Arabidopsis thaliana: one gene and its partners. The protein of the gene in region 1 interacts with the protein of each later gene in a pairwise test. Each region holds a gene or a part of one and is shown in the gene's direction. Other genes may lie near its edges. The genes, in order: AT1G66760, CAT9, YSL3 and AT2G25520.

Evidence for each region.
Region 2: the proteins of AT1G66760 (region 1) and CAT9 interact in a protein complementation assay, tested with the Arabidopsis thaliana proteins (one large-scale study listed by BioGRID).
Region 3: the proteins of AT1G66760 (region 1) and YSL3 interact in a protein complementation assay, tested with the Arabidopsis thaliana proteins (one large-scale study listed by BioGRID).
Region 4: the proteins of AT1G66760 (region 1) and AT2G25520 interact in a two-hybrid assay, tested with the Arabidopsis thaliana proteins (one large-scale study listed by BioGRID).

Annotation. Positions count from the first base shown.
Region 1 is NC_003070.9:24,899,912-24,905,108, forward strand, and holds AT1G66760 (MATE efflux family protein), read left to right. Parts: upstream 1-1,970; 5' UTR 1,971-2,198; coding exon 2,199-2,447; exon of another isoform or gene 2,448-2,525; coding exon 2,526-3,070; intron 3,071-3,266; coding exon 3,267-3,353; intron 3,354-3,439; coding exon 3,440-3,496; intron 3,497-3,589; coding exon 3,590-3,828; coding exon of another isoform or gene 3,829-3,833; exon of another isoform or gene 3,834-3,919; coding exon 3,920-4,125; coding exon of another isoform or gene 4,126-4,143; exon of another isoform or gene 4,144-4,236; coding exon 4,237-4,302; 3' UTR 4,303-4,532; downstream 4,533-5,197.
Region 2 is NC_003070.9:1,800,524-1,806,325, reverse strand, and holds CAT9 (cationic amino acid transporter 9), read left to right. Parts: upstream 1-2,325; 5' UTR 2,326-2,383; coding exon 2,384-2,633; exon of another isoform or gene 2,634-2,718; coding exon 2,719-3,128; intron 3,129-3,207; coding exon 3,208-3,384; intron 3,385-3,455; coding exon 3,456-3,680; intron 3,681-3,792; coding exon 3,793-3,969; intron 3,970-4,065; coding exon 4,066-4,302; coding exon of another isoform or gene 4,303-4,329; exon of another isoform or gene 4,330-4,651; coding exon 4,652-4,747; coding exon of another isoform or gene 4,748-4,765; exon of another isoform or gene 4,766-4,823; coding exon 4,824-4,961; 3' UTR 4,962-5,216; downstream 5,217-5,802. Other genes in the region: AT1G05950 (uncharacterized protein), read left to right, coding at 1-93, 209-362, 447-659, 742-957, 1,073-1,139, 1,220-1,374, 1,444-1,510, 1,602-1,753; AT1G05930 (B3 domain protein (DUF313)), read right to left, coding at 5,393-5,477. UniProt on the Arabidopsis thaliana protein: Permease involved in the transport of the cationic amino acids.
Region 3 is NC_003076.8:21,753,451-21,759,799, forward strand, and holds YSL3 (YELLOW STRIPE like 3), read left to right. Parts: upstream 1-1,800; 5' UTR 1,801-2,275; exon of another isoform or gene 2,276-2,373; 5' UTR 2,374-2,453; intron 2,454-2,542; exon of another isoform or gene 2,543-2,567; 5' UTR 2,568-2,630; coding exon 2,631-3,003; exon of another isoform or gene 3,004-3,098; coding exon 3,099-3,274; intron 3,275-3,508; coding exon 3,509-3,606; intron 3,607-3,695; coding exon 3,696-3,830; intron 3,831-3,914; coding exon 3,915-4,104; intron 4,105-4,192; coding exon 4,193-4,310; intron 4,311-4,388; coding exon 4,389-5,326; 3' UTR 5,327-5,483; downstream 5,484-6,349. Other genes in the region: CB5-E (cytochrome B5), read left to right, coding at 6,178-6,264. UniProt on the Arabidopsis thaliana protein: May be involved in the lateral transport of nicotianamine-chelated metals in the vasculature.
Region 4 is NC_003071.7:10,858,608-10,863,434, forward strand, and holds AT2G25520 (Drug/metabolite transporter superfamily protein), read left to right. Parts: upstream 1-2,060; 5' UTR 2,061-2,342; coding exon 2,343-3,386; 3' UTR 3,387-3,803; downstream 3,804-4,827. Other genes in the region: AT2G25530 (AFG1-like ATPase family protein), read left to right, coding at 4,452-4,589, 4,659-4,827.

The DNA of each region.
Region 1 (5,197 bases):
TGTATTGACCAATAAAAAAAAGTTGTATAATATATTAATAAGAGATAAACAAAAAAAATGTTTTTACTATATGTGAAGAACCTGTAAATGACATTGTGAATACATATATTCTCGGTTATAACTTTTAACTTTATAAGTTATACATTTCTTTCTTTTCACAATAAGTGTCGTTTTAGTGTTAAAATTTTATTTCAAAATAAGTATTGTTATTATTTTTAGTGTAGATATTTGGTAAATATTCAATTTTAATGTATTGACCAATTATAAAAAATTGTATAATATATTAATAAGCGATAGACAAAAAAATCTAATTGTTTTTTTACTATATGTGAAGAACCTGTAAATGACATTTATACTAAAACGTAAAAAGTATGTATGATATATTGAATCAAAAATAATACTAGTAATCAGTAGTTAAGTTACATCTATTTTGTTAACGAAATAGTAAAAAAAAATGTCATTAAGAGACGGATTTATTATTGATATCAAGTAGAGCAAAATTTGTTTGTTTAGAAACACAAACAAAATCTTAACTTTGGCGGTTTAGTCTGACTAATTTCAAATTTATGTTGTGGAGTATATAAAGTCGATAGTACTTTTTAACAATGATTTTGAAAACTAAAACTTTATGTTATTGGAGTATTATCATGGATTGGAGTTTTTGTCAATGAATTAACATGGAGATGTGGATTAGGTTAGGTTCATCGAGATATGTATTTAAAGTTGAAACATGTGTTTTATTATTATTCTTTTCATTTATTTATTTTTTTCTTTCTGTCGGTCAGTATTGAAACATGTGTTTAGTTTCATTTGTCCTCTCAGGCCTCAGCATGTCTAGTCTAGGAGTATTCTTTATGTTTCAAAATATAAGAGGTTTTAGTTAAATATGCAGATTAAGAAATATCCATTTTTAAAAAAATTCAACCATTCATAAAAATATCATATAATATAAATAATTATAAAATATTAAATTAATCTATAGTTATGTTACACAATTTACATAAATCACGCTGTCATGAGTAGTCTTTTTCATATATCATCTATTGACAAAATAACAATTTATCTTGTTGTTCTTTTGAAAACTAGCTATTACTACATATATTATACATTTTTTTTCTCATAAGTGGTTTAACGCTGACAAAAAAAATCTATTGTAAGATGGTAACCACTGAAAGCCATCTTAGGTTCAATACTTAAATAAATGATATGATATTAAAAATATTGATCATGGACCGATGTTTATCGATTTGAGCCAATGCAATCAATACGAAGAGAGACTTTTATTCCTTATTCTTTAGAAATGTATATCTCATTTTATGACTAATTAAATAATAACTGATGATCAGTATGTGGTTCTATACATTTAAAAATCTTCTAATTCAGTTTTTTTTTTTTTTTTGGTATCGATGTTAAGTATTTATACCGTTTTCAAGTTTGAGACAGAATACAGAGTAAACAATAGAAGCAAAAAAAAAAAAAAAAAAAAAAAAAGGGAGAAAGACTACGACTAAAGGAACTACGAATACAAGAGATAACACGATAAGAAACACAAAGCGAAGCAACTAGTAAAGGCTTGAAGAGGAAACACCGATTCTAATTCAGTTTTCATATCTGTTTGATACTCTTAAGGTATTATATTGTTCTGTGTTCCAGTTCTATCTCATGCTAATCAAAAATATTGTTAATACCACTCTTGCCTTTTTCAAGAACCGACATGATTTTTAAGTTTTAACCACAAATGTATTTGATTGGTAAAAGGTTCTAAAAAGTTTCAACAACTCACAAAGCCTTAAAACTGAACCATTCATGTTTTACTTTTCTTTTTAAGGCTATACAACCAAAACAAACTTTATGTTGTCTAATTAATTTCTCTGGCATAAAAAAAAAAAAAGACTCCACAACTAAAATCTTTTAAGTACAAACTACAAATAGGAACCAATTATTAGTTACTAGTTAGGATGCATCTTCTTCTTACACGTGCTGAATTCTATCTTTTGACTTAAATGAGTGAGATGATAAAAGTCGAAAACGATTTCGCTTTTATACGCGGAAGCGGAAACGTGTTTATTTTCTTTTCTTCGAGTCGCGACGTCGCATATATTATTTATCAAAATACAAATTTTATTATATCAAAATCATAAAGCTAAATAAATACGACACAACTTCCAACATTTTCTCTAACCAGAAAGAAAAAAAAAATGAAGAAGAGTATCGAAACTCCGTTATTGTTGAACACCAAACAATCACAAGACGAAGATAAAGAAAAAATAAGATGGGAGAAGATGAAGAAAGTTGCTTCAATGGCTGCTCCAATGGTCGCCGTGAACATGTCTCAATACCTTCTTCAAGCAACTTCTACAATGATCGTCGGTCACCGGAGCGAACTCGCTCTCGCCGGAATCGCTCTAGGAAGCTCCTTTGCTAATGTTACCGGCTTTGGTGTTCTTGTAAGCAAGTATATGAACCTTTATATATATATATGTATTGGATTAATTTGTTTCTAATTATTGTTGTATACTATATAGTTTGGACTTTCAGGTTCATTGGAAACACTATGTGGTCAAGCATATGGAGCAAAACAATATCACAAGCTTGGATCTTACACTTTCACTTCAATAGTTTTCCTTTTGATTATCTCTGTTCCGATTTCGATTCTTTGGATGTTCATGAACCAGATCTTGCTGTTGCTTCATCAAGATCCTCAAATAGCAGAGTTAGCTGGTGTGTACTGTCTCTGGCTGGTACCAGCTTTATTCGGTTACTCTGTTCTCGAGTCGTTGGTTCGATATTTTCAGTCACAAAGCTTGATTTATCCAATGGTCTTGAGCTCTCTAGCTGCTCTGTCTTTCCATGTTCCTCTCTGTTGGCTAATGGTTCATAAATTTGATTTTGGAGCCAAAGGAGCGGCTGCGTCTATCGGTATCTCTTACTGGCTCAACGCGGTTTTTCTTTGGGTTTATATGAAACGCTCTAGTCGTTGTGTCGAAACGCGGATTTATATGTCCAAGGATGTTTTTGTTCATACAAATATCTTCTTTCAATTTGCCATTCCTTCTGCAATGATGTGTTGGTAAGTATGTACAACTTTATTAAAAATCCATATAGAATTAACCAAGTGATGGTAGTCTAGTGGTGGTCATTGTTTTGTGGATAGGTGAAAGATTTAAAATCTTAGGTTACATAAATAAATGTGTAATGGATTTTTTTTCCCTTCACTAATATTCTATTGACACTTATTTTCTTATTGCTCTTGCTTCCTTCAATAGCCTTGAGTGGTTAGCTTTCGAGGTCATTACTTTGCTGTCTGGTCTTCTACCCAACTCAAAGCTCGAAACATCGGTTATTTCGATTTGGTAATGTATCGAACCGCAAAACTATATAATCTGTGATACTTATATTTTCTTTCATTTTCTAAGCCTTAATTTTTGGGATTGAGCAGCCTCACGACCTCTTCATTGCATTACAATCTAGTAAATGGAATTGGTGATGCAGCAAGGTTTGTTCTTACTTTAATACTCTTACATCGAATTTTCACTTCATTTTATTTTCGAAGAATTAATGTTTCATTTTTTTTTGTTTCGTTGGTTAGCACCAATGTGGCTAATGAGCTAGGAGCTGGGAATCCGCGAGGGGCTCGTGATTCTGCTGCGGCTGCAATCATAATTGCAGCTGTTGAGTCAGTTATTGTGAGCTCTAGTCTGTTCTTGTCTCGCAGTGTGTGGCCTTATGCATATAGCAATGTGGAGGAAGTAATTAGTTATGTGACTGATATCACTCCTATTCTTTGTATCTCAATCCTCATGGACAGCTTCTTGACCGTCCTCTCCGGTTAGCCTTTCTTAACACGCATCTCCGGTTTTGCAACCATGTTATTATTTTTTTGTGAACGTGAACCGAATATATGTTTTGTTTTGTTTAGGGATTGTGAGAGGAACAGGGTGGCAAAAAATTGGAGCTTATGTGAACATAACCTCTTATTATGTCATTGGTATTCCTGTTGGACTTCTATTGTGTTTTCATCTTCACTTCAATGGGAAAGGACTTTGGGCTGGTTTAGTCACAGGATCAACATTACAAACTCTAATCCTATTTCTTGTTATTGGATTTACCAATTGGAGCAAAGAGGTGATTGTAACCGCGTAACTCGCTTTTTTCTGTTTCTAATCCATCATTCGATTTTTCGAGAAATCGAGCTAATATTTGTTTACACATTTTTTCTTCAATGAAATTTTGCAGGCAATTAAGGCTAGGGAGAGAATTGGTGATGAGAAAGTTTGGAGACATGACTCATTGCTTAATTGAAGAAAAAAAGAAATACAAACTTTTGGGGGATTTTGATTGCTTCTTTTTTTGTGTGTGTTTGTGCAATAACCTTCAGTTGATTGTAATTTATATTGAAAGTACATTATAGTCTTTCATATGATATTAGAGTGTAAGAAAGTTTGAAAATATATCTCAGTTAAAAAATGATCTGGTATATAATAGATGAATTAAAGAGTGACCAAAGTTGATTGGTTCAAGCTTAAAACTTCTATACTATAAAGTCTATAATACAACTTTACGTGGCCAAAAAACAAATAATGAACCAAAGAGAGAGTATCTTGAAAGGATATACTCAAAGAATTAAAGAAGTCAAAAAGCAAATTTGAATACTTTCTCCGACAAGAGATGCTCATAAGAGTCAAGGTGAGTAGGTAATTGTTATGGCAGAAAACACGTGGAAGCAACGACACGTCATACATAATATTGAAGATTAACAAAAAGTTAAATTAAATCAACATCAATCCAAGAAACAAAAATGTATGGACTTGCAAAATCAGTTATACAATGAGGTGAATCCAGCCTCGCAGAAGTCCATGTTCAAGTCCAGTTTTGCACCAATATAGTATATTGGTTTCATGGACGTAAGAGTCTTGTCAAATGAATCCAGCCGCGCATCAGTCCATGTTCAAGTCCAGTTTTGCACCAGTAAATTGGTTTCACGAACGTGAGAGTCTTGTTAAATGAATCTAGCCTCGCTTCAGTCCATGTTCAAGTTCAGTTTTGCATCAAGATATTGATTTCATGAACGTAAGAGTCTTGTCATGGAACTCCTAACAATAAATAGATTGACCCATATCATTTTTATATTACGTTCTCGGTTACATCACACTTTTAATGTTGGATTCCTGATACGCCTGCTCAAGAGGAGGGGTTT
Region 2 (5,802 bases), about 23 Mb from region 1:
TGAGAAGAGCTTTTCCGACTGGACTATGAATTCTATAGTGGAATACTTTCATGTTCTTCCATATGCCACTCTCATAGAAGATTGGTTTTCCAGGTTTAATTGCATCCTTTTTTTCTTCCTAAATTGTTATTCCTTAACATTACTTTGAGTTTGTTTGGTATCATTTCTAGTTTAGGGGTAGCAATATAAGTTTATTGTGCTTTTTCAGGCGAGGAGATACCGAATTTGTGATAGAGAAAGAACCAGAAGCTGTATGTGATGATATCGAAAGCAACAAAGTAGATGCAACCAAGGAGTCGGAAGTTTCCGACATTTTTGAAAGACGAGAAAAAGCTGCTTTAAAAAGGAGATATGAAATTAAAGTATGCTCTCATAATGATACTTGTATTGTATGGTTGTGTTAAGGAAAATGGTATTACAAATTAACTTAAGAATTTAAATTGCAGGCCAAAAAAGTTGCCGCTCTACTGAGCCATCCTGGAGCTAGAGGAAAAGCTACGACGAGGTTGCAAAATCGGTACTTAAAAGGAAGTATGAGTGGTGCGAAGGAACCTAATGTTCACTCGGAGACAGTAGTTGCGTTGAAGGCTAAGAATGTAGGTAATGAAATGAGCCCTTGTAAGGATAACTATTCGAATGGAGAGAAAGGTGGTTTCGAGGTGAAATCTGAAATCTACACTAACAATTATATATTCTCAATTCAATCTTCAAGTATCCTTTATCACCCTTTTGTAAATGCAGGTTGCGTCTGACCCAAAGGAACTTAAAGAAAGAGGTCTCCAGAGGAAGAAAGCTGTTCCTGACAGACTTAATAGCATTCATAAGCTTAATTCAACTCCTGCTTCTGCTCATAACTCTAATCCAAATCTTGAGGAGCTACAGACGTCTCTTCTTTCTAAAGCAACATCACTATCCGAAACTGCATTGAAAGTTCTTCTTTGCAAACGAGATAAACTGGTAATAACTGTAGAATTTGATCAAAGATACACAACACAGCAAAAAAACTGATTGGCAATAGCATATATATCCTTATTTTATGATTAAGAGCTGCTCTCTTTTTCTCTGGCTGCAGACTCGTCAACAGAGGAACATAGAAGACGAGATTGCTAAATGTGATAAATGCATCCAGAACATCAAAGGTATGTATATATACATATACTTTTCCTTTCTGCACAGCTTTGTTTTTACATGAATCTTAGTGATCTCGTGGGTGTTATAGGTGATTGGGAGCTGCAATTAGAAACAGTACTCGAGTGCTGTAACGAGACATACCCGAGGCGTAACCTTCAAGAATCTCTTGACAAGTCAGCATGCCAAAGCAACAAGAGGCTGAAGCTCAGTGAAACTCTTCCTTCTACTAAAAGTCTGTGTCAGGTTAGTTTATGGTTACTTTAATCATTTCTTGTTCAAAGAATTAAGATTCATTGCCCCTATTTATTGCAGAGACTCGATGATATCTGTCTCATGAATAACTGGGTACTACCAAACTATCGTGTGGCTCCATCAGATGGTAAAGTTTTGAGATCATTTGCCAAACTCGTAGTTCAGCTCCATTACTCCCTTCAGATTTGCATGTTGATGTTGATGCTTTGTTCAAAAAGGTGGATATGAAGCTGAAGTAAGAATCACGGGGAATCATGTCGCATGTACAATACATGGAGAGGAAAAGTCTGATGCTGAGGAAGCTAGGGAATCTGCGGCAGCTTGCTTGCTAACAAAGTTACAACACGACACAGCAGCCAACTTATCATGATTATGTGAGATTCAAGAACAACTCAGAAACCAAACTAACTTCCAGCATGAGTAGAAAACAACCCTGATTTTGATATGTATGGCCATTTTGGACGAATAGCAAGATTTGTACAAAACTCCATCCTCTGGTTGAGATTTTGAGATATATTACAAGAAGTCAAAGGTATTAACTGATGCAGAAACTAAAGTAGAACCAGAATCATGTTAAAAACCTAATCCTAAGCCTCCTGCATTTAAAACAATCCTAGAAACTCAAAAACCCAACAAAGTGCTAAAGAGGGATGAAAGAAATCCTAGTAAAAAAAAACCCTAATATTGTTAACTAGACCAAAAACCTCAACAATGGCCTGAAAGATTAGACCAATATGAATCTCAACAGACACAAGAAACTTGTCAACAACGAAAATAGGAGCTATACTGTCTCATGGCAAAACAGAGGACTCCATCGCACCTAAAGGCCCAAAGACAGATGTCGTCGCGAGCTTTCAGTTCATTAGAGGGTTATTGGGTTTAAGTGGTCTCTGTTGGGCCCAATGGTTGGCCCAATATTTATTGATTTGGATTCTGATTATCCCGGGGGTGATTTCAGTCATCGTCTCGATCAATCTTCAACTCTCAAATTGAAGTTTCCATGGGAGGCCACGAAGGTTTCAGCAACCAACGCCTCTCCTCCGCCACATGGTTCTCTCATTTCCGTGCTTCAGCTCTCCGATCTAAATCACTGCCCCCTCCGTCCTCGCAGACTGCCGTTCGCTCCACCTCTGGCGACTCTCTGGTTCGTCGCCTCGGCCTTTTCGACCTCATACTGTTGGGCGTCGGCGCTTCCATCGGCGCCGGTGTCTTCGTCGTCACCGGAACCGTCGCTCGCGATGCTGGACCTGGTCAGTTGAATGAATTACTTTTTCTCACCACCTCCTTGATTCGTTCAGAATCGCTTAGTGATTATTGCTGCCGTTGCGTGCCTAGGAGTCACAATCAGCTTCTTGCTAGCTGGAGCATCGTGTGTGTTGAACGCTCTCTGTTATGCTGAACTTTCATCTCGTTTCCCTGCTGTTGTTGGTGGAGCTTACATGTACTCTTACTCAGCTTTCAATGAGATCACAGCTTTTCTTGTTTTCGTTCAACTCATGCTTGACTATCATATTGGCGCCGCTAGTATCTCCCGTAGCTTGGCCAGCTATGCTGTTGCTCTTCTTGAGCTTTTTCCAGCCCTCAAGGGCTCTATTCCTCTCTGGATGGGAAGCGGCAAAGAGCTCTTGGGAGGGCTTCTCTCTTTGAATATTTTGGCTCCCATTTTACTTGCTCTCTTGACCCTTGTTCTATGCCAAGGTGTGCGAGAATCTTCCGCTGTCAACTCCGTTATGACTGCTACTAAGGTAAGCTTCTTTCCTTTTAACCTTCTCTTCTTATCTTTACCAAAAAAAACTCTTCTTCACTATATTGTTTCTTCTGTAGGTCGTGATCGTTCTCGTTGTGATTTGTGCCGGTGCTTTTGAAATTGATGTAGCAAATTGGTCTCCTTTTGCGCCTAATGGTTTTAAAGCAGTTCTCACTGGAGCTACTGTTGTCTTCTTTTCATATGTTGGATTTGATGCAGTTGCTAATTCTGCTGAAGAATCGAAGAACCCTCAGGTCTGCCTATATATATGTTGAATGTACATACTATCTACAAAGTCTCTTATGTCTGTTTAATTCTTGTTCAGCGCGATTTGCCAATCGGAATTATGGGGAGCCTTCTGGTTTGTATCTCGCTGTATATTGGCGTATGTTTGGTGCTCACCGGGATGGTCCCTTTTAGCCTCCTCAGCGAAGATGCTCCTTTAGCTGAAGCCTTTTCATCAAAGGGTATGAAGTTCGTCTCAATCTTAATCAGTATTGGTGCTGTTGCTGGACTCACAACTACTCTGCTTGTTGGTCTTTATGTTCAGGTGATAATATATATATATGTATTTCTTTTGTAATTTCTTTTATTATGTACTTGTATATTATGCAAACCAAGGTAACACTCTTGAGTAATCATATGATATTTCGGATAAACAGTCCAGGTTATATCTGGGACTTGGAAGGGATGGTCTATTGCCTTCAATCTTTTCCAGAATACACCCAACTCTTCATACACCTCTTCATTCTCAAATCTGGTGCGGCATTGTAGCTGGCGTTTTAGCTGGCATATTTAATGTACATAGTCTTTCCCATATTCTGTCTGTTGGTACATTGGTACGTCAAGGTCTTAATTTTAAATATCTCTTTGCTTTTCTTATTGATACTTATACTTTCCAGTTTAACATTATTTTCGGTGTTCCATTTCTTCAGACTGGGTATTCAGTTGTTGCGGCTTGTGTTGTGGCATTGAGACTGAATGATAAAAAAGATAGAGAGTCGTCCAATAGATGGACATCAAGTTGGCAGGAAGGCGTCATTTGCCTTGTTATAATTGCATGCAGTGGTTTTGGTGCTGGCGTATTTTACCGTTTCAGTGCTTCAGTTATATTTATTCTCCTCTCAGTTGGTGTGGCAGTTGTTGCTTCAGCAGTTCTTCATTATCGCCAAGTAAGTAGCCTTAAGTATAAGCCTTAATTCCATAGCACACTCTTCTTAATTTCATAGCGCCAAAAAAAATAAAATAAAAAAACCAAGTTTCACCCCTGTTAAAATGCTAGATACTAAGTCTTTTACTGATACAGCATAAAATAGAGACCACCACTAGCATGTTCTGGCACTTAGAACTCTACAGTGATACTATGAAAGTCTGTGACTATTGAAGTCTTTGCATTCTTGGTTTAGAGGAGAAGTTTGTTAACATCAATTAGGAAATATACCCTCATGGTTGTCTCCACAAATCAGGCAAATGCCTTGCTAGCTATGCTTCATGTTAAACCCCTCAGCTTTTCGCTTCCAGGCTTATGCTCTGCCTCTAGGTTCTGGGTTTAGCTGTCCTGGTGTACCCATTGTGCCATCCGTTTGCATTTTCTTCAACATCTTCTTATTTGCTCAGGTACACGCTAAGAACTAACTTTATACTAATTTCACATACCATATGATCTACCTTTGATTTTTCCGCTACTGTGCAGTTGCATTATGAAGCATGGATAAGATTTGTTGTTGTCAGTGTGCTTGCAACTGCCGTTTATGCCTTGTATGGGCAGTACCACGCAGATCCGAGCATGTTGGATTATCAGAGGGCACCTGAAACTGAAAGCGACGCTTAGTAATGCTACATTATAGTTGTGTTACTTAAAGCCATTTGTAGAGTTGATAGCAAGTTTCTGCGTTTCGTGAGAGACATACTGTATGTCACATACATATTCAGGTCGAGTTTAAGGATTGGATGGGATAAGGCAGTTAAACATTATTGTTGTAAAGAAGTTAATAAAAGTATGCTTGTGCATTTCAACTAAAGCCTTGAATGACTGAAAATGGCTTTTGTGCTACCAAATAATCCCAGAAGCTAGCAATGTTCACATAAACATACTCAATGTTAGAGTTATTCAACGGATCATAGTATAGAATCAGAAACAACAAGCTTACTAATAACAGACATCCAAACCCTCTAGCATTGTAGTAAGACCAAAACCCTCTAGAATTGCCCCAACTTAGCCGGCTGTACAAATGAAGATCAATCTCCACAGAGACAAGAAGCTTAGCAGAGACGGCGAGCATTGGAAGAGCTACTCTGTCTCAATGTAAGAGGAGGAACAAGAGCAAAACAGAGGATTCCACGCCACCTGAAAGACCAAAGACTGATGTCTTTCTGATTTACCCCTCTCGGTGACACCACACGCCTCTTGGGGCTCGTGGTCTCCCGTTAGACACAAAGATGGAGTCTTCTTGGACTCGGCAATGTAGTTTTGAAGAAGGTTAAAGAAAAAGGCGATGAAGAAGAAGTGGAAGCCCCATTAAGATTTTGTTGTGAATGAAAACTGAAAAGAGTGACTTTGTTGTTTTATATAGTTCGTTAATCCGTTCTGATTTACTTCGTTTTCCTCTTATAATAACTCTAAAGGTATAATCTTTTCTTTTTCTTTTCTTGAAAGCATTATTTAGAGAGTG
Region 3 (6,349 bases), on another chromosome or scaffold:
ATAGATAGATAGTCATATGGTTGATCTTGCTTTCTCACACTTAACACCATCAGTTGAATCCAATGTTAAAAATAGGTAATTCTCAGATGCAGTACCTCATAAATGTTGTAAAAAAGTCATAAATAATTATTCAAAGGAATGCATGGAAGAAGTGAATTACATATTTTTAAAAAAAATATAGGAAAAGAAAAGTAAAGTTCGTACAAAAGAGAGTAGTATTATTCTCTTTTTCTTCTCCATAGGGCCTCGTAATATCTACTTAGCATACGAGGACACATTAATATTCGATCATGTATATATATGCCTACGACTACGAGACATTCGAAAGTTATTGTCTAGTGGTTTGTATTCACACAATTTCCGTGTTAACAGTTTTAGTTCCATTTCCTTCATATAGAGATCTAAATGATACTACTACATATCATTTAGTTTAAGGAAGGACGATGTAAGAAAATAAAAATCTAATATACGAGAGAATTGTAACACGTTCACTTCATAACTAGCTAGCTAGTGGTACTTACCAGTTACTACCCCAACTCTAGTCAACACTACATTAAATACTATAATGTGAACAAAATTATTTTGAACCAACGGCTGTTACAGTAGTTTATTCAACTTTATCAACCAATGCATTAAATTGAACATATTTCTGGCCGATTGAAATAGGTTGGGAACGATCTTATAAAATTCAGTCTTAAACAAGTCTTGGTTTTCAAAAATGCAAATTCATTCGTATGTTCTTGGCAAAAAATGGTTTAATTGGTTTGATCTGATCTTATCCTATCACGCAGGATTGGTGTAATATAACGCACCAAATTCGGCCAGGAAACGTCCGAATATAATAGTCCAATTCTACTTATGAATTTGACGTGTTGACGTAAAGAATCAAAAGTCGAACTTATTGAATAATTTATTCGACTTTAATTTTCTTTTGGGGTTTTGGTATGTTTGTGACCACATGGTATGGAGTTGACATTTACCATTTTCTTGATTGACTACCTAAGAAAATTTTAATTATTATTCACATTATGGAGAGTTATGTTTCCATATTTTGGCTTTAATATTAATCATGTGGTCAATAAAATAAAGAGGATAGTTATGGCATAAGATTGTCCATAATGTCATCATCTTGTTTAGTAAAAGACAGTCACATGAACCGGAATCTCGGTTTACCAAACTTTTCACTTTTTCAGTTTCACATGAATGTCACCAGATTCATTGAGTTAAACATGTATTTTAATACTATAAAAGGTTAATTAGTTATGATATCATATTTATGACTTTTAAAAGACTTTTGATATTGTAATCTGTAACTAGTTATAAGTTAACCATCTCTTATAATTAGAACAAAAAAAAACTTAATTATGGATGAACTGATTTTAATGGAAAAAATATTTAGAAATAGAAATACATTCATAATTTATATCTAAGTCTAACCAAAACACAAATCTAAAGTTACGAATAAATCATTTCAAGTGTAATTTTACTAACTATTTGACTCCTAATCTTATTTCATCACCTAAACTCCTAATTGTTATATATTTATGAGAGATAATGACATTTGTTCCTCTACATACTAATCTAATGGTTGAATAGTCATGTGTTTGACAAACTTATAAAGTTTGATTTTTCGTATGTGACATTTAGTTATACATCCATAAATTATATAACTTTCTTAGTGAGATATATGAAGGTTATATATGTGGAGTATATTCTTAATAATTAATTGTTACCCTACTTTTTTTCTTTTCGGTGACGTAACTTTTATAAAGTTTAACCCCTTAATGATTATTGTACTACATAAACCCCAAAACTCTTTTCTCTTTTCTTTTTTCTTTGTGTAGTACTGATATCAAGTCAACGTGCGGTACATAAGAACCCAAGATCCCATAAATAAATTCTTCTTGGTTTTAAGCTTTCTTCTTCATCTCTACTTCTCTATATAACTTTGAGTAGTCTCACCAAAGTCCATTTTTAAAAAATCAACTATACCATTTTTAGCTATTCTTTGGTCTTCGTTTCGTGTAAGCATTCAATGTTTTTTTTCTTTTATCTCTTTGGGAAACGGGAGTGTGGTCTTCGTGTGTGTGTCCCTGTTTCATTAACCAGTTACGTTTCATTCTCTTCTTTTCTTACGTTTACTACAGATTTCAGAAAGAAAAAAAAGTGTTTGAAGCAAAAGAGATTAATGGCAGATTCTTGAGTCATTAACTTTTTTCTAATTCTTTTAATTAGATCTCTGAACATAAGAGATAACTTGCGTCATTATTCTATGGTTATAAAGATTATGCACTTGATTAAAATAATCTCTAGTTTTCCTTTTTCTCATTTGCTAAGCAACTGTTTCTTTTTCTTCTTCTTCTTCTTCTTCAGATAATTATGCTTGGGAGTGGAAAGCAAGAAAAATTCTAAACTTTATATAAAATTCCCAGAATCAATTGATCCAAAAAGAGGTACCATTTTTTTCCTCTCGTCATTTTCCATAAAAGTAAGCTTTTGATTGATATTTAATTATTAAAAGAATCTGTCTTTTGGGTTTTTGTTTTGACAAATTTTTGTTTTTTCAGTATTGTCAAAAAAGATAATCAAGAAGAAGAAACTCTGTTTTTTTGTTCTGTTCTTGGAAAAAAATGAGGAGTATGATGATGGAGAGAGAGGGAAGGAATGAGATAGAAAGAGAAGTAATAGATGACTTGGAAGAGACGCAAAACGAAGGAGATGATTTCAAGTCAATACCTCCATGGAAGGAACAAATCACTTTCAGAGGAATTGTTGCAAGTTTAATCATTGGTATAATCTACAGTGTGATCGTGATGAAACTAAACCTAACAACAGGTTTGGTCCCAAACCTAAATGTCTCTGCAGCACTTTTAGCCTTTGTCTTCCTTAGAAGCTGGACCAAGCTGTTGACCAAAGCCGGGATTGTGACTAAACCGTTCACTAAACAAGAGAACACTGTTGTCCAAACATGTGCTGTTGCTTGTTACAGCATTGCAGTTGGAGGTTCAGTGAATTTTGACCAGTTGTTTTGACTGTTTGATCAGTTTTTGTTTGGGGTTGGATCATTGTTTTGAGCTATGTGTTTGTGTGATTTGCAGGTGGGTTTGGTTCATACCTTCTTGGTTTGAACAGAATTACTTATGAACAGTCAGGAGGAACTCACACTGATGGGAATTATCCGGAAGGCACGAAAGAGCCTGGAATCGGTTGGATGACCGCTTTCTTGTTCTTTACTTGCTTTGTTGGTCTTTTAGCATTGGTTCCTCTAAGAAAGGTAGAGATTATTTAAGATTCTGTCTCATTGAATTTGTAGTTAGAGATGTTGCGGTAGGCCAAAGTTTGCGGGTCAGTCCGGCCCATATAAGTGTGATATGGGCCTGGCCAAACCCGCTATAGCCAACATAGGACGGAGATTAATATTGGCCAAGTTTGGACTATTAATCCCCTGTTGGCTGGTTTGGGTCTACATTGCTAAGTGTTCATTATGCTTCTTTTTTTGGTTAACCAGATCATGATCATAGACTACAAGCTGACATATCCAAGTGGAACAGCTACCGCGGTTTTGATCAACGGTTTCCACACTCCTAAAGGCAATAAAATGGCCAAGTATTAACTCGATTTTTTGGCAGTCTCTTAGCTCTCTTTCACCACTAATTCTAGAGTTTTTGATTTAAATAAAATCTGTTTATATGCAGGAAACAAGTGTTTGGGTTTGTGAAGTACTTCTCATTTAGCTTCATTTGGGCTTTCTTCCAATGGTTCTTCTCTGGTGGTACAGAGTGCGGTTTCATTCAGTTTCCAACTTTCGGGTTAGAAGCTTTGAAGAACACGTGAGTATTATTCTTAGTTCTATTGACTGTTTATATATCAACAGATAGAAACAGAATCTTGATGATCTTGAAAAAACTTGACAGATTCTACTTCGACTTTAGCATGACATACGTTGGAGCAGGAATGATCTGTCCCCATATTGTCAATATATCTTTGCTTTTTGGCGCGGTTCTGTCTTGGGGAATCATGTGGCCACTCATTAAAGGTCTTAAAGGAGATTGGTTCCCATCAACTCTTCCTGAAAACAGCATGAAGAGTCTCAATGGTTACAAGGTTCCATACAAAAAACACTAGTACTCTACAATAAACTCCGCCCTTTCTTTCGCGTACTTTCGTTCTTAATTTGTTCATAACTCTTTAGGTGTTTATATCAATCTCATTGATCCTCGGAGACGGGCTTTACCAATTCATCAAGATACTTTTTAAGACAGGAATAAACATGTACGTCAAGTTAAACAATCGCAACTCTGGGAAATCTAGTAAGTATACACCAAAAAAACTATAGAAAAATCGTCATTTCAATAATGTATTATCTGATGTTCAAACGTAAATCGCAGATTCGGAGAAAGATAAGCAATCTATTGCAGATCTTAAAAGAGATGAGATCTTTGTAAGAGACAGCATTCCATTATGGGTTGCAGCAGTAGGATACGCAGCGTTCTCTGTTGTCTCGATCATCGCGATCCCTATAATGTTCCCCGAGCTGAAATGGTACTTCATAGTCGTAGCTTACATGTTAGCTCCATCGTTAGGTTTCAGTAACGCTTATGGAGCAGGGCTAACAGATATGAACATGGCTTATAACTATGGTAAAGTCGCTCTGTTTATCTTAGCCGCTATGGCAGGGAAACAAAATGGTGTAGTCGCGGGACTTGTCGGATGCGGGTTGATAAAATCGATTGTATCGATTTCTTCTGACCTAATGCACGATTTCAAGACAGGACATTTGACTCTGACTTCACCTAGGTCGATGCTTGTGAGTCAAGCGATCGGTACAGCGATCGGATGCGTTGTGGCGCCTCTAACTTTCTTCTTGTTTTATAAAGCTTTCGATGTCGGGAACCAGGAGGGAGAGTACAAAGCTCCTTACGCTTTGGTATACAGAAACATGGCAATTCTTGGAGTTGAAGGTTTCTCTGCTTTGCCTCAACATTGTTTACAGCTTTGTTACGGGTTTTTCGCATTCGCGGTGGCGGCAAATCTCGTTAGGGATAGGTTACCGGATAAGATAGGGAATTGGGTTCCATTACCGATGGCAATGGCGGTTCCGTTTCTTGTTGGAGGGTACTTTGCTATTGATATGTGTGTGGGAAGTTTGATTGTGTTTGCTTGGAATATGAGAGATCGAGTTAAAGCCGGTTTAATGGTACCGGCGGTTGCTTCCGGTTTGATATGTGGAGATGGTCTATGGATTTTGCCGTCGTCGGTTCTTGCTTTGGCCGGCGTTAGACCTCCTATATGTATGGGCTTCATGCCGAGTAAATATTCGAGTTAAAGATAGCTTTTTACGAGTTTTTACTTTTTTGTGTAGCGACAAAAAAATTAGCTAAAGAATTGTGGAAACAAAAAAAACAGTTTATATAGGAATTGTACTTTGTAAGTTTGTATACACAATAAAGTAATAAACTAGTCTCTCAATTCTATTTAAAAATCCATGTCCCAAGTAACTTCTCCCCAAAAAGAAACTCAATATTTTAGAATAAGGTCAAATGGAATTAAATTCCAGAAGATATTTGCCAAAATAGTGATAAAAATACGGTTAAATTGGTATATGTTTTTACTGACAAAAGGCAAGATTCTTCTATTTTAAGATTTATTTCTTTCTTTGAAATCTGCTAAACGTTGTTAGATCACACTTTATGTGTCTGTTTTTTTTTTTGTCAATTCAGCACACGTCATATTTGTATTTTTCAAAGTACCAAACGTGGACCAAAATAAAATCTCGTCAAAAATGGAAACCAAATTTTAATTTGATTTGCACAAAGCCCAATTTGATTTGTTTAAAGTCAAAGCCCAACTTGACCAAAACTACCCCTGCTCATCCAAACCCTAAGCAAAATATCGAGGGTAGTTTCGTATTTTGTTTATATTGAACACAATTAAGTAGGTGAGGAACCTCTATTTCTTCCGTCTTCTGCTGATTTCTGAGCTTCGGAGCTATCGAAAATTCTGAATCTGAAAGGGTAAAGATCCCATCTTTTTCCAAAAATCGATAAGGGAATTAGTATATTCGTTCATTCATCATCGTTCTGATGATTTCGATTTGAATCTGTATCTAGTACTCTGTATTATCAGAAATTTTGATTAGTAGCTTTGATGTGTTCTTGTTTTGCAGTTTGAGTGAAGATGTCTTCAGATCGGAAGGTTCTAAGTTTTGAAGAAGTTTCAAAGCACAACAAAACTAAGGATTGTTGGCTTATTATTTCCGGCAAGGTTAGATCTTGTCTCTTTGTTTGAGAACATCTCTGTTTTTTGACGAACTTAGTTCTCTTCCGCCATTGATTTGTGTCAAAGCTTC
Region 4 (4,827 bases), on another chromosome or scaffold:
ATATTTAAATATAAGAAACAAGCTTTTGTTAATAAAATGACGAATGGAGAAGAAGAATATACGGTTCCTCCACATTAGCAATAGAACCATACTGTCTCCACTCTTCCATTGAAGGTAAAAAAATGTAATGGGCTCTCTCTCTAAAGAACGGTTTTTCTGGCAGAGTTCCGTCTAAGTTTCCAGTTGAATCCGGCTTTGGTATCTGGCTTATGACACGACTAATTCAGTATCTTATTTTTGTTATTTATATGAATAATGTCCACGGTTTTAATTATGGGGATGCCACTTTATACGGTGATTCGTTTAGGTGAAGGTTTTACTTCTGCTTGTACTATTGGGTCCGCGGTTGATAAATACTATCAGATATGATTGCATACTTGCATGTAACTGATAAAAATAATATTTGTTACTTTACGTATTTTGAATTACCAATTAGCCTGTATTTCAAGTAACCAGAACTACTAGTTACTAAGCAAGCAGTTGTGCACTTATTAGATCATAATAATAATAAGTACTCAATAACTAAAATCACCTTAAAACGGAAATTAAAAAAATGATCGACTTTGATGTTATCATATCCGCCACTTTTGTTTCGTTCTCTCGGGCTGAATCGTTTGTTTCGTTCTCTCTATCGTTACTAGCTCTCTGTTTCTTGTTTTGTCTCTATTCATTAACTTTGCTTCCCTTATTAGTAATTATAATTTATAAATTCTAAATGATGTCTCTGTAAAAGAGAAACAAAGTAGATAAATATTAAGGGAGAAATGTAAATGTAACTGCATAATCGGTTTGCTACAAACTTATTTTTCCCTCCTAAAATGTTTCTTTTCTTTCTTTGCAAAAGATTCATTCGCTATATGCCTGTATTGGTTAAACATTAGTAGAAGTATTTTTGCAATTGGCGTGCAGAACATGGGAAGTTAGTAGCTACTTTATATATGGCCACATGACTTCCTCGCACGTCACGTAATCGGTGAAATGCTGTCCATGTGACAGTCAGACTCTTCGTAAAACAAATGTTCCGAAAGTAGTAACTACGGATAATTTATTTATTTTTGCAAACGTTACTGTAGTTACAAAATAAATAATGTTCCTTTGTAACTTTGGCGTGGGATTTCCAAAAAGTCTCTTGTCACATGAAACGGTTTTGAAAAATTTATAATCTCACTTTGAATTTGGTATATGTATTCAGACGAATGATAAGATACCAAATTATTTTAGTCGTTTTAATTTATAGATTTATTACTAACTTTTTTTTTTGTAAATTTAAACTTTCAGATTAGGCAACACCAAATAAATGATATATTTAATAGAAAATGTATGGTCGAAAAAAAATATTGTAATGTCTCTACACCAGAAGCTTTTGTTTTGACTTTTGAGTGTTTGAATCATTTGAAGTTTTGAACAGAATAATTCCACAATCAAAACCAAATAATATTTTATCAGGCGAGCGAAAGACAAGATTTTGACAGGTATTTGTACAAGTACTGAGTCGGTCAACAAACCCCGTCTGGACTCTGGACCCGAAGTAACCCAACAAACGTTGCGACAACTACATTAGCACCACCACCAAGGCACCAATAATGCAACGTAAGAGGGACGCAGCAAAACTGTCGCGATGTGAGATTCACGCGCTCTAATTTAAACGTTGACTCTTTGTTTCATCGTTACTCTCTCCCATTTATTTACTTCGCATACTCTCTTCGTTACAAGTTTCCATTTAATTACTCTTAAGTCTCTAACTAATAGCTTTAGGGATTCGTCATTAATTTAAGGCAACGTAAACTTAAAGAGTTTCGACTAAAAGCCGTTTCAGGAAACATACATCATCACATACTTTATCTAAATAACTGGCTTATTAATTTTATAACAAAAATGACGTTATTTAGTGTTAAGATATACAAATATTTAATTTTTACTAAATTAGTTAAGGTAAAATTGTGTTCCTTTCTGTGAGTTTTCCGCAATATTAAAAAACCCTAGAGAAATTAACAAAACGTAATTGACTAAAAAAAGAGTTCAAAACAAAACATTTGTTACATTTATTTCATAATTTAAAGACTAAGTATAAATCCACTAGAAAACAGATGATTAAAAATGCGGGTCCCACAATACGCCAATCGTCAAATAATCGCGCACCTTTTCGCCACGTAGCATAACAAAGTCACGTAAGCCCTTCCTCTACATTACAAGACCAAACTCAAAGTCTCTTTCTCCCCCAAACCCAAAAACATTGACCCAAAGAGAGAGAGACTTCTATCGTGCGCACCTCTCTCTCTTAATCCTTTATCCTGCGCACCACCACCACCATCTTCTTCTCCGGCGAAAACAAACCCACCGCCATGGGGAAAGGTCGTGCACTTTCCGACGGAGTGATCAAAAAGATCATCCTTTCATACACCTATGTCGCAATCTGGATCTTCCTCAGCTTCACAGTCATCGTCTACAACAAATACATCCTCGACAAGAAGATGTATAATTGGCCATTCCCAATAACTCTCACCATGATCCACATGGGTTTTTGCTCTTCCTTAGCTGTGATTCTCATCAAAGTCTTCAAAGTCGTCGAGCCTGTTTCAATGTCACGCGAGACTTATCTCAGATCCGTCGTACCAATCGGCGCGTTGTACTCACTTTCTCTCTGGTTATCAAACTCTGCTTACATCTACCTCTCTGTTTCCTTCATTCAAATGCTCAAAGCCCTAATGCCTGTAGCAGTTTACTCAATCGGGGTTTTGTTGAAGAAAGAGACTTTCAAATCTCAGACTATGACTAACATGCTTTCGATCTCGTTTGGTGTTGCTATTGCTGCTTATGGTGAAGCTAAGTTTGATGGTTGGGGTGTTTTTCTTCAGCTTGGTGCTGTTGCTTTTGAAGCCACTAGGTTGGTTTTGATTCAGATCTTGCTTACTTCTAAAGGAATCAATCTAAATCCAATCACTTCTCTCTATTACGTTGCTCCTTGTTGTTTGGTTTTCCTCTCTGTTCCTTGGATCTTTGTGGAGTTTCCAGTTCTTAGAGATACTTCGAGTTTCCATTTCGATTTCGTGATCTTTGGAACCAATTCTGTTTGTGCGTTTGCTTTGAATCTTGCTGTGTTCTTGCTCGTTGGGAAAACCTCTGCTTTGACTATGAATGTGGCTGGTGTGGTTAAGGATTGGCTCTTGATTGCATTCTCGTGGTCGGTGATTAAGGACACGGTCACACCTATCAATCTGTTTGGTTATGGACTTGCCTTTTTGGGTGTTGGATATTACAATCACTGCAAGTTACAGGCGTTGAAGGCTAAAGATGCACAGAAGAAGGTTCAGGCAAGTGATGACGAAGCTGGGAAGCTTTTGGAAGAGAGGGAAAGTGAAGCTAAACGCAACGAAACCCAAGATTGATCTGTTCTGATTCAAGAATGCAATTTCAGGAAATAAGAGCTTCAAGGTTAGAATGATTTGGGAAGATGGATTTTGCATTTTCATAGGTATGATTATCATTGTCGGTGTTCGTTCGTCTACGTTTTAGTTTTGCGATTATATTTTTAAGTTATGGCTGATTATATTACATAGTGATGGATGGGTGTTTAATTAGAGGTTCATGAATCTTTTGAACTCCATTGTATCTTCTTCTTTTGAGTTGTATTTTGTTTCTTACTTCCTCATGAATCTATCTTTGTGGGTAACAATTGTTTTAGTAGTACTTCTTTATATTTTTTCCCTCCATTGAGATTGTTAAATGTCAAATTGAAAGTCCCTTTTACGTCTCTCTTTATCCAATGAAACCGTTGTATGTTGGAAGGCACAAGAAGATGGTCAACACCAAAAACTTTTTGATATTTTATGGGTTATGTAGGATCATTTAGTAGCAAGATCCACAATTTAAGGAAATAAACAAAATACCCATACCGACGTTCCCTTGCAATAATATGACACATGACACCATCATATGAATACAATGGTCTCATTTAACCTCTACAAATATCCTTCCTTTAGTCTCAACAAGTTTCTGTCCTGAGTAAAGGGACAGGCCAAATAGGTGTTAGATACCAAACTAAAAACATTCAAACAGGCTCACGGGTTATGGATTTCTCATCAGCGAATATTTGGGAACTTTTAACACAATTCGGATCTACTCTCGCTTGGCATAAAAGCTGTTTTGTTCCAGAACAGAATTCATAAGCATGCATTGGTGCTTGGTTTGTCACTTTGTGAAATGTGACTTTGAATAGCCATCCTACCTCTTGGCAGAATTGTTTTTGGATTTGGGTTATATCCTATCAAATTCCAAAACTTAACAAACCAGTTTTGTTTGATTTCAACTGGAATCTTATAACTAGCTCATAGTTCCTACATATCTTTTTTTTGTTTGAATCTACTACATATCAGGCAGTAGTATTCTAGACTCGGACGAAACTTTATTAGTCCAAATTAGGCTGCACCAAACGAAATGCAGATACATCATACATGTCACGGACCGGACCACATCGGGTTTGGCAGATTTGGCATCCTAGTTTTGACATCTCTACCAAACCCACTAAAGAAATCTACACGGACACTAATAAGCCAAATCAGCAATACGACAAACGGTCCATATTCCACCACGTGGCTCTCTTATAGTTCGTCACGTCGACACCTATTAATACCGTTCTAAATTCTTCTCCGGAACAGTAGCTAAACCGTGATCGTAAAGCTAGTCTCCAGAGAAGAAACCACAATCGGAGTCTGAAGCAACAAATTATGCCTAATGTTTCTCAGATCTCTACTGTTCTACGTCTAGCGTTTTCTTGTAAAAGAAGACTCTCCAATGGCTTACACTTCGTTGCTCGTTCCTATTCCACCT